2 linked regions of the Elephas maximus indicus genome follow. The protein of the gene in region 1 purifies or fractionates together with the protein of each later gene. This does not show direct contact. Links are inferred from orthologs where the notes say so. Each region holds a gene or a part of one and is shown on either strand. Other genes may lie near its edges.

Region 1 (8,018 bases):
ATATGCAAAAGCTGGACAATGAATAAGGAAGACTGAAGAAGAATTGATGCTTTTGAATTATGGTGCTGGCAAAAAATATTAAATATACCATGGACCGCCAGAACAAACAAGTTTATCCTGGAAGAAGTACAGCCAGAATGCTCATTAGACGCGAGGATGGTGAGGCTTCGTTTCACGTACTTTGGACATGTTAGCAGGAGGGACTAGTCCCTGGAGAAAGACATCATGCTTTGTAGAGGATCAGCAAAAAAGAGGAAGACCCTCAACGAACGGGAGTGACACAGTGGCGGCAACAATTGGTTCAAACATAGCAACCACTGTGAGGGCAGTGCAGGACCAGGTAGTGTTTCATTCTGTTGTACACAGGGTCGATGTATCAGAACTGACTCAACAGCACCTAATGAAAAGTTTAATTTTTGCCTATCCTTACCTTCACAAAAAAAATGAACTCATACAGTGTATACTCTTGTATCTGCCTTCTTTCAGTCAAAAATATATTTTTGAGATCATCCAAGTTATTGTAGTATTTATTAGTAGTTCATTCTTTCTTTATTGTTATGTAGTATTCCTTTCACAAATGTGCCACAGTTTACTTATCCGTTCTTCAGTTGATACCTGGGTTGGTTCCAATGTTTAGCTATTATGAGTAAAGTTGCTGTGAACATTCTTACATATGTTTAGTGAACATATGCACTCATTTCTCTTGAGTATGTATCAACGAGTGGAACTGATGGGTCACAGTGTAGGCATAAGCTTATCTTTAGTATATGCTGCCAGTTTTCCTAAGTGGTTGAATCAATTTATACTCTCAGCAGCAATGAATGAGGTTATCTACATCCTTGCAAACTCTTGGGAATTGTCAGTCTTTTTAATTTTAACCTTCTAGCAGGTTTTTTTTTTTTTTTTAGCAGGTAGGCAATAGTTTCTAATTATGATTTTAATTTGCATTTCCCTGATAAGTGATGATGACACTTTTTTATATGCCTAATAGCAACATGGATATCATCTTTTGTGAAGTACCTGCTCAAATTTTTTGCCTATTTCTAAATTCAGTTCTTTTACTCTGCAGAATTACTTGATGTACTCTGAATATTAATCAGATATATATGTATTGTAAACATCTTCTCCCAATCTATGGAGTTCCTATTTACTTTCTTAATGATGTCTTTTAACAAAAAAAGTTCCTTATTTCAATGAAGTCCAATTTCTCTGTGTTTTCTTTTATGGTTAATGCCCTTTGTAGATGTCTATCCTTTTCTTATAAGAAAACTCTAAAAAAAATTTTTTTAAAAATTACCTTTGCTTATCTCTAAACTATATTTGGGGTGGCTCACAGTAAGATCAGATACAACAAAAGCCACAAACCCATTAAAAGTTAGCAATGACAGAAGTCCTAGGCTACAGGAAGCTACTGAACTTGAGTCTAAAATTTAGTTATGAGTTTCTTGACAAAAATGTTCTATTTTTTTCTTAAAGTCATCAAAAAAGATCAGCCTTAAACCTGAAGAGTTTCTTGAAGTTATAAAAAGGCGCCACTTCTTATGTAGTTACAAGTTCATAAAAGGGGCAAAGGATTAAGAATCATGGGTAAATTTGAAAGCTACTTATATTTAGTTTTGAAATGTACTTTCACGTGGATGAGGCTAATGTGAAATTTATAACATTCCAAAAACTGAAATTCAATGGTGGAGTAATAAATGATAATACCAATAAAGAAGTTAAAAAAAAAAAAAAAGACTAGCAACTGCTCCTTGTCAACCTTATTCTCATCCATGAGAATTTTAGGATTTATTGTAGGATAAGCCCGTTCAACAGCAATTGAGAATCCTTGGTACAAAAACAGATGCAAATTGTTCACTCTACTCATGGAAAAAATAATACTCAAAAGACAGTAGAAAGATGAAGACTTCACACTTTCTCAAAGACTGAAAAATGTATTTTGTATGTTCCACCTTTCTGTTTTGCCTTGTCTAAACAAGTGATACAAATCTGTATTCTGACAATATTCCACAAATACTAAAGGACCTTACCATAACAATTACTTCTACTTCACAACATCATAAACTATTATTATAGCCACGTGATAGCTAGGGAAACTGTGACATACAAAGAGGAAGCAACCTGCCGAAACTCTGAGTCACTGGCAAGCAAGAAGACATGTTCTACTCAACTCTCTTCATGTTCTCTGGCAACTATTTCTTTTCCTCTTGTCATTAGCAAAACATGCTGGCACCATGTATGTAAACATACCTACTAATTTTTTAACTTTTTACATTTCCTGAGTAGGAAATGTAAATGGAAAAAGATCCCTTAAACAGTGTTCCTTTCAAGAATGAGCACATATCCACACTTAACCCCTGCTAGGTAAGCTCCTCCCCTCATCCCAATTTCTTTAGCTAAAAATTTTCAAGCCCAACAAAATGAGACAGTTCCTCGCAGTCTTCCAATCCAGAATCAATCTTCTCCTTAAACAGATAATCTCTTTCCAACGTTCTGCTTTTCTAATGACAGCAGTTGCCCGGACCCACCCCACACAGTCCTCACAGGCTCCAGAAGCAGCTGCCACTTTTCTCTAAACACCAATCGCGGCCCCGGTTCCCAGCCCCCGGCCCCCGGCTTCCGCGCTCCCCGCCCCACCAACCTACCCCCACCCCCGCCCGCTGCCTCAGGCCCTCCCCCCGCAGCGTCGGCAGCTCTTGCTCACCTCGGCCCCTGACAGGAAGGGGTGCGAGGGCCCTGTGATCGTCAGGTAATTGTCATTTCCTCCGGGAAACTGGAAACCAAAAGAAAGCCGCGGGGATAAGTTAGCGGGAGCAGGGAGGAGCTTGGAGCGACGTATTCTGACCCCGACCTTCTGACAACACTCCCCAAACCCGGCTGTCTCTCTCCTCCCCCGTCAGCCGCCTCTCCGCCCGGCCTCTCGCCTCTGCTTCAACCCCGTCGGCCGCGTTCTCTCGCCAGCCTTCTTAGCGCTCGGGTTCCTACCTCCATCTTCACACAACAGCTACCACCGCCTTACTCCCCTCATTGCTCCCACCGCCCCTACTGGACTCGGAACTTACGTCACTTCCGTAAGGATGTGCGTCACTCTTTGCGGCAGCCAGTCAGGCCTAGCAAGGCCGAGCGTACGGAGAGGCTAACGCTCGCCCCCTGGAGCTAGGTGGAGTAATGGCATGTGGAGGTGCTAGAGGCGTCTTTGGAGGCGGCGTTGGAGTGTTTCCGCCGCTCCGGATCGAGAGAGGTTTTCTGAAGAGAACAGGAATCAGGCCACTTTTGGAAAACTGAAAGTGATTTAATATGGCTGGAGCATGGAGTTCGAAGCGTGGCAAGAAGTAAAGCTAGAGAAAAAATTAGGTACCAAGTTTTAAAACACCGGAAGGCCCGTTGCTGTCGAGTCCATTCCGACTCAGCGACCCTATAGGACAGAGTAGGACTGCCCATAGCGTTTCAAGGAGCGGGATCGTGGATTCGAACTGCCGACCTTTATGCTTAGCACTTAACCACTCTGCCAGCAAGGCTCACCTGAAGGAAATGTTGAGCAAATGACAAGTTTTAAAACCGAGAAGTGTAGTGATCAATCAAGTTTTCCCCAGAGTCCGACAGAGGACATGTTTCTTTCAGAATTCTGTTCTCTGTACCAAGAGAATACGACAGCTGGATAGAAAATATGACAGTTGGATAGAAAATCTATACAAATTGTAGAGTCTTTGAGTGCATAACTAGAGGAAACTGCATAAAGGGAGACAAAAGCTTTATTTTCAATTCTAACCTGTTGAAATTCTATTCCTACTCTAGGGGGAAAAAAGATTTAGCAACTTTTTTTCAGTAGCTACCACTCGATACTTCATGAAGCAATCTAGAATAGTACGAAGTGATTCTTGTATCTTCCTTAACTGCAGCACCTTAGAGTTGAGATATTTTGGATATCTCTGCGTACCTATGTGAGACACTGAACAAGTGTATATCAACCCTTTAGCATAAGCCGTATTAGTGCACTTTCTTGCAAATCAGAATTCCTCATGCTATGTGCAAAGTACTGTATGAAGATAGAAAGTAGGCCAAGTTGTCTGACTGTGGCCAAGAATTTTTCATGTAACTGACCTTCAGTTTTTAATTCTTGAGACAAGGTGAATGCCAGGTAAACCAAAAGACTTATTCAGACTGCCAATTTCCATACTCCTATTTTTTATTCAAGAGACTACTTTCCAATGAACTATGGGAGTTATTAAACATCCGAAGTATATCACTCTTGACAACCTAATTCTCAGATAGGCTTCTTTCTCAAACAAAAAGTTCTAGAGGTGCAAAATATATAGTTTCATGTAGGAGGACTAGAGAGTAACTCTAAAAACACATCAAGAAATATTTTCAAAATTTTTAGGTATTTTTTTGAAAAAGTTACAAAATTAACCAATGGAACAGAATTGAGAACCCAGATGTAAATCCATCCATCCATGGACAGCTGATCTTTAACAAAAGGCCAAAGTTCAGGAAATGGAGAAAAGATAGTCTCTTTAACAAATGGTATTGGCAAAACTGGATGTCCATTTGTAAAAAAAAAAAAAAAAAACATGAAGCAGGACCCATACCTCACACCACACAAAAACTCACTCAAAATGGATCAAAGAGTCAATTGGCAAAATAATTCTATTATGAAAACATTCTGCATCCCACTTTGAAATGTGGCTTCTGGGGTCTTAAAAGCTAACAAGCGGCCATCTAAGATGCATCAATTGGTCTCAACCCACCTGGAGTAAAGGAGAATGAAGAACACCAAGGTCACACGACAACTAAGAGCCCAAGAGACAGAAAGGGCCACATGAACCAGAGACCTACATTATCCTGAGACCGGAAGAACCAGTTGGTGCCCGGCCACAATCGATGACTGCCCTGACAGGGAGCACAATAGAGAACCCCTGAGGGAGCAGGAGATCAGTGGGATGCAGACCCCAAATTCTCATAAAAAGACCATACTTAATGGTCTGGATGTGACTAGAGGAATCCCGGCGGTCATGGTCCCCAAACCTTCTGTTGGCACAGAACGGGAACCATCCCCGAAGACAATTCATCAGACATGAAAGGGACTGGACAGTGGGTGGGAGAGAGATGCTGATGAAGAGTGAGCTAATTATATCAGGTGGACAGTTGGGACTGTGTTGGCATCTCCTGTCTGGAGGGGGGATCGGAGGATAGAGAGAGTTGGAGGCTGCCAAAGTTTTCACGAAAGGAGAGACTGGAAGGGCTGACTCATTAGGGGGAGAGCAAGTGGGAGTAAGGAGTAAGATGTATATTAACTTATATGTGACAGACTGACTTGATTTGTAAATGTTCACTTGAAGCTCAATAAAAGTTAATTTAAAAAAATGGATCAAAGATCTAAATATAAAACCTAAAACTATAAAGATCACGGAAGAAAAAATAGGGACAACACTAGGGGCCCTAATGTATGGCATTAATAGAATACCAAACATAACTAAAAATGCACAAGCAACAGAAGATGTGCTAGATAAATGGGACCTCCTAAAAATGAAACACTTATGCTTATCAAAAGACTTCTCCAAAAGAGTAAAAAGAGAACCTACAGATCAGGGAAAAAATTTTGGCTATGACATATCCGACAAGAGTCTAATCTCTAAAATTTATTTTAAAAAACTTCAACACCTTAACATCAAAAGGACAAACCAATTTAAAAAATGGGCAAAGGATATGAACAGATACTTCACCGAAGAACACATTCAGATGGCTAACAAACACATGAAGAAATGCTCTCCATCATTAGCCATTAGAGAGATGCAAATCAAAACTACAGCGAGATACCATCCCACCTCAACATTACCAGCACTAATCAAAAAAACAAAATAACAAATGTTGGAGAGGTTGTAGGAAGATTGGAAGTCTTATACACTGCTGGTGGGAATGTAAAATGGTACAACCACCATGCAAAATGATATGGCACTTCCTTAAAAAGCTAGAAATAAATAAAAAGTTCCAGATGTGCAAAAATATATATTGTTTCATGTAGGGGGACTACAGAGTGACTCCAAGAAGACATCAAAATTTTTAGATATTTTATGAAAAACTTAACAAAATTAACCAATGGAACAGAATTGACAACCCAGATTTAAATCCATCCACCTATGGACAGCTGATCTTTAACAAAAGGCCAAAGTTCATTAAACGGAGAAAAGATAGCCTCTTTAACAAATGGTGCTGGCAAAACTGTATGTCCATTTGTAAAAAAAAAAATTAAACAGGACCCATACATCACACCACAGAAAAACTGACCGGCAATCCCACTCTTAGGTATACACCCTAAAGAAATAACAGTCGTGACACAAATAGACATATGCACGCTTATATTCATTACAATATTATTCATAGTAGCAAAACGATGGAAACAACCTAAGTGCCCATCAACAGATGAATGAATTAACAAACTGTGGTACATCCATGCAGTAGAATACTATGCAACAATAAAGAATAATGACAAATCTGTGAAACATCTCACAACATAAATGAATTTGGAGGACATTATGCTGAGTGAGGCAACCCTGCTGGTGTAGTGGTTAAGAGCTACGGCTATTGGGCAAGGGGTCGGCAGTTCGAATCCACCAGGCAGCCTTGGAAACCCTGTGGGGCGGTCCTACTCTGTCCTATAGGGTCGCTGTCAGTCGGAATCCACCCAATGGCAAAAGGTTTGTTTTTTGGTTTTTATGCTCAGTGAAATAAGTCAATCACAAAAGGACAAATGTTGTATGAGATCACTATTATAAAGAAACAAGAAAGGTTTACACACGGGAAAAAAAATTCTCTGGTGGTTACCAGGAATGGGTGGGAAAGGGAGGGAAAATTACCAAAGAGATGGAAGACATGTCTTAATATTTGTGAAGGGAAAGGCAATACACAATATGGGGGAAGTCAGCAAAACATGACCAAGGCGTGGGAGGACACTGAGAGGAACAAAGGGCAACAACAGTGATTACTGTAGCATAGAAAATCCTGTTAAAATAGCATTAACAAACACTAATTTACAAATGGATACATAGGTAGATAGGTATGACAAGAGGTGTGGGAGGGCATAAGGGAACACATCCACCTGCAGAGATAGGTTTGGTGGTAGATATTTCTACATACATAACTGTAGATGCTGCTTATATAGACAGTAGAGCACACAAGGGCCACAGTCAGGGCAACTTCTTAGACATAACCAAACACCTCATGGGATGAAGCTCCTGGGTTCGAAGGCAAAGGATCATAGACTTAGGGGACATCTACACCAACTGGCACAACATAGTTAATAAAGACAAAGTTCTACATCCTACTTTGGTGCATAGCATCTGGGGTCTTAAAAGCTTGTGAGTGGCCATTTGACATACAGCTATTGGTCTCTTAATATCTGGAGCAAAGGAGAGTGACTAAAACCGAAGACTCAAGGGAGTAATTAAGCCAAAGGACTAATAGACCACATTAACCACAGACTACACGACCCTGAGATCAGAAGAACTAGATGGTGCCCAGCTACCATTTACCTACCACTCTACTGGTATCACAACAGAGGGTTCCACACAGAGCAGGAGAAAAATTGTAGAACAAAAAATCAAACTCACAAAATAAGACTAGACTTACTGGTCTGTCAGACACTGGAAGAATCCCTGAGACTACGGCCCTAAGTTACCCTTCTGAAACAGAACTGAAGACAATCATGGAGACCACCTTTCAGCCAAACCATAGACAGGCCCAAAGAATAAACAATAACACTTGAGAGGAATGTGTTCCCTAGAACAATCTATTATATTAGATTAAAAAGGCAACGTTTGCCCAAAAGCAAAGATAAGGAGGCATGAAGCAACAGCAATTCAAGAAGAAAGGAAACAAGAACCTAGGAGGGAAATGGGGAGAGTGCTGACACATTATGGAGAATTAAATCAATGTCACGCAACACTTGACATTGCACAATAAAAAATTGAAAAAAAAAATTACAAAATTAAATACTGCCTAATCAAATTTCGTTCTGTTGT
Region 2 (7,047 bases), on another chromosome or scaffold:
CAGCCGGATCACTACTGGTATGGTATGGTACATCTTCAGATTTTAGTTTTATGTAAAACTTAACCCAAGAAAACATACTGAAGTGTACATTGTTTTCCATTTACTAAAATGTTCCAAATGCAATGATAGGTATAAAGTATGCCTATCTGAAAAAGAAAAACACAATGCAACTCATAAAATATTTTATAGTTGATAGACAATTTCATACAGCACAAAACAATCAAGAATATGTTGCAGAGCTATAATTAGCATTTTAAAATGAGATCATGTCCCTCTAAATTTGTTTCCCTAATGTAGAGAAACTCTGGCCAACTTTTAACTTGCACTTTTATTTGAAACTTTGAAAACAAACTCCTAACCGTAGTCTACTGGCTTACAAAAGACCATTATTTGAATTTGAGTTAAATTTAGTTAGCATGTACCACCACTGAAAATCAAGGTATTCAAAAAACAAATCTTATTTGAAGACTATAAACAATTACTTACTAGAAAAATTAAGTATGCTTTGGACATATCTTTGAATGGGTCTAGATGGGGGGCGGAGAATTTGAGAATCTCAGGGATAAGGCACTGTCAAACTAAATACGCTTCCTTAGAAATTAGGAACTAATGAAACTCTTGACAAAGGAGGCTGGAAAAAGCTGGAGAATCACTTGTTTAGACTGAGGGCACTTTGAGTAAAGAGAAAGACTGTTTTTAGATTCCTGGTGCCTGGTACAGAGGAAGTCAATAAATGCTTAAGTTAAAAAGGGAAAATGTAACTGGACTAGAATAACACCAAAAGAAAACGAAACATTTAAATTTGCATACACAAAAACAAACGGAATCACTTAGGCTATTTTTTCCACCATCTTTTCTTCCCAATAACCTTGGAAAATCCACTAGTGAAGTTTCCTAAGTATAATCATAAAAAGTGGATCTGACTTAAAAGGTTCCAGTTGAAGCATTTTTAAATGAGCAAATATACTGTATTTTACGCCCATGGAGTATATAAATATATAAGTAAATAAACATATAAAGAAGTTGAGATACAAACATCAGATTTTAAAAATATTTAAGTTTACTCGCAAGGTTTAACAGGTACAAAAATAGTGGCAGGCCTAAACGTCCCTAAAGGTTGACAAGATACTAAAATTCTAAAAAACTGTTTTTCCCTCTTACGACAATGCACAATTACAAAATCTATACAATCGTTTTCACAACAAATATCTCACAGTTAAAGACCCAGCAAGATGTTCACGTTCGTGTATGAAGTAGTGAACACTGACTACCGGCACCAGGGGGCCTCCCAGGAATAATTTGATAGTAAAGGAAAAGGTAAGTAAGAGTTCCTGGTAAAACTTTGCTTCCTAGTCAGTCTTAAGACTGTTGGAAGGTTTTTACATCTGGAGCAAATATACTGTATTTGATTACACAACAGGTACACCAGAACTGATGTGGTTTTAGATATCGACAAACTAGATGAAAAAAAGGAACTAGTATCCTCCCCAAATCACACAACCTTCTTTGGTCATTTTCCAAATTTAAATACATACTGCTTCACTGTAGTAAACAATTATATCCAAATAACTGGAAAGCAAATGGCAGTTAATGTATATACAATCCTTTGACTGCACCTGACAAAGAGAACTCTAAATTTTTAAAAAGACCTAATTTCTTTTCTACACACTTATAAAACAACTAGCGATGGCGTAAATTTTAGGGAAAACCAGTCATTGGCAGAAGACTGCGATTAATTTTGAAAATTTTCCTGCAATAAATCAGTTCTTCCCTTTTCCCCAACCCTCCTCCCACCAACATAAAACTATTCAATAAAAACTAGCAGGGCCAGAAACTTAAAATGTGGATAAAACCTGTAAATACCTTTCAAATACAAGAGAAGCTTTACGAAAGACCTTTACTAACTTTGTTCAGAAATTAAATTCCGTTTAAAGCTGTTAAATTCTCAAACCCAAAGCCCAATCCCTTCACAAAACGTATCCACTTTTCGGATTTCTTGCGTGAGTCTTCAACCCGATCAAGGATTTTGTTTTTACATATTTTTAAAAAACTAAATAAAAAATGCTAGGTATTCCCCGCTAATTTTATCCTCTCCTTAAAAGAGTTCGTTCTATAACATCATGTAAACACGCTGAACGGCAGGTTAACAATCATATTAAGAAGATTTTTTAAAATTCACTTCCGGAACAATTTGAGGCAGCAAAGGCCAATGCAGAATAGAAAACACACATTTCACGGACGTCCAATGCACACCAGCACGCATCCTCGCCCCCTCCTTGGAAAGGGTCACCGGAGGCGAGCACAACAGCAAGAACCCAGCAGCCCTTCTCTTCTTAAACGCTGTCTCCCCGCAGACAGACTGCTCACACCCCAGACTAGCGCTCCTGGGCCCCGAAGAAAATTATTCCCAGGAGCCCGACGCGGTGGCCCACGGGGCACAGCCTCCCCCAGCCCCAGTTCTCGGAGACCGCTCCCCCCGCCAACAAGCCTCCTCGCCCCCTCCTCCGCGGATGCCTCGGCTGGTTCGCTCCGCTTCCCTCCGGAGACCCTGCTCACGGGGCGGAAAGGAGGGTCCCCCTCGGGTTTCGGCGGTAAAAGGGGGAGCGAGGGGATGAAGGCGCTGCCCCCTCCCACCAGCCCCGGCCGGCCCGGGCTCCGCACTCACCCTCCAGCAATCGGGTGATGAGACTGTCCACATTCAGCTCCCCGTCCGCCATCTTGTCGGCACCAGACTCTCCTTCCCGGCAGCGGGAACAAGGGCTTCTCGGCGGCAGAGGCTGCGGCGACGGCGCGGCGTTCTCTCACCTACAAGTCACGCGGCGTTTCGACCCCGGTCCCCACTCCCCCTTTACCCGGGCCCTCCCCCCACCCCCTCCCCACCGAGCAGCGAGAGCGCGCGCACACTCGGAGGCACACAAATAAATAAATAAATAAACAAACGGGGCTCCACGAACCGGGCCTCGTAAGACCCAGCCGCCACCTCCTCCTCCTCCTCGGCACCGCCCAACTCAGCAAAGCTCACCAGCGCCGCCAAGGCCCCACCCGCAGCGCCACTCCACACGGCCCTTCCCCGCCGCCGCGCCACGCAGCCGTCCGCGCAGGCGCGCCGCGCACCCCTTCGCGGCTCCCCTCGCCTCCCCGGCCTTGGCGCAATCGCACTGCCCTCAGCTCGCCGCTGCCGTCCCCGCCGTCGCCGCGGTTGCCTTAGCGCAGGTGCGTCGCCCTTTCCCTCCGCTTTTACTGCGCCGAATCGCCGCAGCGGCGCAGGCGCCACGGAGGGTTTGGGGGATTTGCGGCGCCGAGGAAGCTCCCATTACGCAGGGCGTACGTAGGCAGGGTTGGCCTTCGCCCAGCCCTGGCCGGCACTCGGGCTCTTCGCCGCTCCGCAGACGCCGTGGTGGGTCCTTCCCACATCAATTTTGTTTGCTTGGCTTCATTACCTGGTTTTGCAAGCAATTCCTTATGTTTCCGCTAACCGGGAAGCCTAGACTGCAGTAACCCATGTTTGAAGCCCGGGTTTGCGCGTGTCAGAAGCAAGGGGGTGTTACTCTGCTAGAAAGTTTAACGTTGCGCATAAGGGGTCTTGTACATAACTGTTCCACCAGGTTAGGTCCTCAGATGTTCTAGGATGAAGTAAATGTTAAAGTGGGCCCTGGAAGGATTAGCAATAGGAATATATGAGTATCGCTTTCACGTGTCTTACATCACCCTGTGGATACTATTTTTCCACAATGCTTTTTTGTTCATACCTCCATTCATTTGCTTAATCATCCTACGTTATAGTTGTTTACGCATTTATTTCCTACACTCGACGCTAAGCTCCTAGAGAGTAAAAACATCTATGTTTGTGTCTGGCCCATAGAAGAGAGGGAGAAGGAGAAATACGGAAGTTCAGCTGTTCTTTCCATCACATAAAACTGCCTTTACAAAAGCAGGAGGAAGAGCAGCTACGCAAAGGATCTAGTTAACTTAGAGTTTTTGGCCTGTTCTAGGAGATGGCCGGATCATCTTTACTCATTCCTCAGGTGTTTTTCCAAAATTCAGACAGATTCTGCCCTAAGCTAAAGGCAGTGCTTCTCCCACCCACGTATCACTAATAATAGCTAACACGTATTGAGATACCTGTATGTACTTGACACTATTTTAAGTGTTATACATTCCTTATCTCATTTAATATTTACATCTGTGTGAGATAGGTACTACTACTCTCTTCATTTTGTAGGTAGGATTAGTTGAGGCACAGAAATGGTTAGATACCTAGCACTAAATCATACAAGTAAGTGAATTAATGGCAACACTGGGATTCAAGCCCAGGCATCTAGAGCCAGAGCCTGCACGCTTAATTGTTGTAATGTGTGTGTGTGAGCTGTACATGAGCTGAGCTGCTTAAGCGTGTTTGTGCTATGTCATAATCTTAGATAGTAGAAATCAAAAGTTTTAGAGAAAAGCACCATCCAACCATGTATTTTGTAATGGTCCAGGTGACTTACAGAGCTTGCATTTCCTAATACCTTTTTGTCCCCCCTAGCTTTCTCTTCCTTCGTTTTAGAATATAGCTTGTACATTGTGATCATAGGAGAACAGGTAGCAAGCTGTAGTGGAGGTCCTGTCTGGAGCAGCCTTCACAAACTCAATGCCACCAGATGGAAATGAAGAAATGGCTCCTCGTCACTCTATGTTGAAACCCTGGTGGCGTAGTGGTTAAGAGCTACATCTGCTACCCAAAAGGTTGGCGGTTTGAGTCCACTAGGTGCTCCTTGGAAACCCTGTGGGGCAGTTTTACGCTGTCTTATAGGGTCACTATTACTCAGAATCGACTCGACAGCAGTGGGTTTGGTTTTTGGTTTGGTTTGTTCTAGAAGAAAGGATTTAATGTAGCTTATATATTTGTGCAGCAGGATAGATTAAAAAATAAGTACAGATTAAAATAAAGAGCCCTGGTGGCACAGTGGTTAAGAGCCCAGCTACTAACTGAAAGGTCAGCAGTTCAAACCCACCAGCTGCTCTGCAGGAGAAAGATGTGGCAGTGTGCTCCCGTAAAGATTTATGCCCTGAAAATCCTAGGGCTGTAAATCTTTACGGGCCTTTCTACTTTGTCCTACAAGATCGCTATGAGTCAGTTGACTGGATGGCAATGGGTTTGGTTTGAGTACGGAGAAAAATAGGACAAAATAAAACCAGGAGTGGCAGTTTTGTATGCAAAATGCATGGTGTAAGGTTTGCTACAAAGAGGCCACAAATATGACTCTAAGCTCTCCAGCAACCAAAGAAAAGATCAGTTACAAGTGGAGTAGGTGTTTTGGCTATGTTGGAACTATGACTTGAAATCACTTGTGGAGTTGGGTGCCACTTCCCTGAATCTGTTCCGTGAGCCTCTTTAAGAGTTACAGAATGCTCGGGAACACTTATTCTGCAGTTTTCATGGGGTCCCTAAATTCCATGAACAAAAACTTTGAACCTTATCTATGGTTGTGGTTCAAATATATGCAGACGTATGTAAAAGACAAGGGATACCCAAAGTAAACTGAATTGAACAGAGAGAAAGTGAAATTCTGAGAGAAAGTCACCATGGGTAGAGCAGAAGAGAGGCCAGTCTCAGCATAGAGTTCTGGGGGTCAGAAGGAATTGGAAAGTGGTTCTCAGTATTGTCTGCAGATGTCCACTTCTCTGCCTCTCACCCCCAGGTTTTCCACTGCTTTGGAATCCTGGGAAAGAAAAAGCAATTATAAAAATGAAAACTATATCACTAGGGTCTCAACCAACTTTTCTGTGGGATCTCTCTCTCAAAGAACTATAAAAGAACTTAGAGCTCTTCAGATTTTTAAGGTAAACTGGTACATGTTCTATATGTTACTTCATATCCCAGCAGCTTAAAGCAAATCACGTGAATATTAACATCAAGTAAGATAAATAAACACTACAAATAACTTCACAGCTGTTCGGGTCATACTTGCCACTATAGTATCTTTTTTTTTTTCCTTTCTTTTATCCAGAGTGAAATATGATTGCTGAAGGAAATTTGGAAAGTGAAAAAACAAAAACAAAAACACCTCTTCTCTCACCACCCACAAATAACCATTTTCCAGTATTATTTCTGAATGTATGTAATACATATATATCTTCCAGATTCTGTGTTCAGTAACATCATATTGATTACTTGAAATTTGCCACAGTGGAAATATTTACACCAATGAAATCAATAAATGCTACAAATCATAGCTTTTCCCTCTAGAGAGACAAATGTTAAACATTTATCAGCACATGCCTGGGTATAGGAAGACATTTGGGTCACACATGTCAGTATCCTTGTGTAGTTACAGAAATGTTTGGGGAAGGAACCCCTTGATCTTCACTTGAACTTCCTGATAGAGGTCTGGAGTATCATGATTTGGGGGTCTTATTAAAAATGTGATCTTATTTGTACTTACAGGTAATGCCTGGGACATGCTGGCGCCCATTATATAAAGTCAGTACTTAGAGGAACCCAACGATCACTGTACTGAGACCAGAGAGATGTCCCTATGGAAGTTCAAAAAGAAAGCACCACGGAACACAGTGAAGAGCAGCCTCGTAACTTCTTGTAGTAAAGATAGTAAAGACTTTCATAGAGGTATTTTTCTTATAATGTCTCTCAGTATTGGCCAACATGATGTGGAGGTAAGTAGGGTTAGGTGGCAAAATGCAGAGGTTGTGATATACAGCTTTTTAGCTGCCCTGCTTAATCCAAGATAGCTTTTAAATGAATGAATGGGAATTCACTGGACTGTCTTCCAGTAAATATTCCCCTCAATCAAGTCTTTAATAAGTCTTAAGTGACTATTTCTAAAATTTACTAAGTGTACCTGGAGGGCAACCATTCTATATAGCAAATATCATAGGCTTTTGTAGTCAGCTCAACTAAAGAAAGTTGAGAACCCAGACAGGGACACATGCATCAGTAGGAGGCCACGAGCTCAGTACAGAGGTGGGCTGAGGGAGTTTATCCTGGCAGGGCTAAGATTTTTCCTTAAGATTTAGTTCTGGGTTCATTTCAGTGCAGAGATGAGA

What was found. Proteins that work in one complex are often made in the same cells at the same time.
Region 2: the proteins of TOX4 (region 1) and PPP1CB purify together in Homo sapiens (affinity purification with mass spectrometry; 5 studies listed by BioGRID and IntAct, with this or other methods). This does not show direct contact. The link is inferred for Elephas maximus indicus from reciprocal best matches to the Homo sapiens genes TOX4 and PPP1CB.

What each region holds. Positions count from the first base shown.
Region 1 is NC_064828.1:31,830,978-31,838,995, reverse strand, and holds the start of TOX4 (TOX high mobility group box family member 4), read right to left. Parts: upstream 3,057-8,018; 5' UTR 2,992-3,056; coding exon 2,986-2,991; intron 2,774-2,985; coding exon 2,705-2,773; intron 1-2,704. UniProt on the Homo sapiens protein: Transcription factor that modulates cell fate reprogramming from the somatic state to the pluripotent and neuronal fate. In liver, controls the expression of hormone-regulated gluconeogenic genes such as G6PC1 and PCK1.
Region 2 is NC_064830.1:47,747,680-47,754,726, reverse strand, and holds the start of PPP1CB (serine/threonine-protein phosphatase PP1-beta catalytic subunit), read right to left. Parts: upstream 3,105-7,047; 5' UTR 3,023-3,104; intron 3,014-3,022; exon of another isoform or gene 2,955-3,013; intron 2,806-2,954; 5' UTR 2,718-2,805; coding exon 2,666-2,717; intron 1-2,665. UniProt on the Homo sapiens protein: Protein phosphatase that associates with over 200 regulatory proteins to form highly specific holoenzymes which dephosphorylate hundreds of biological targets.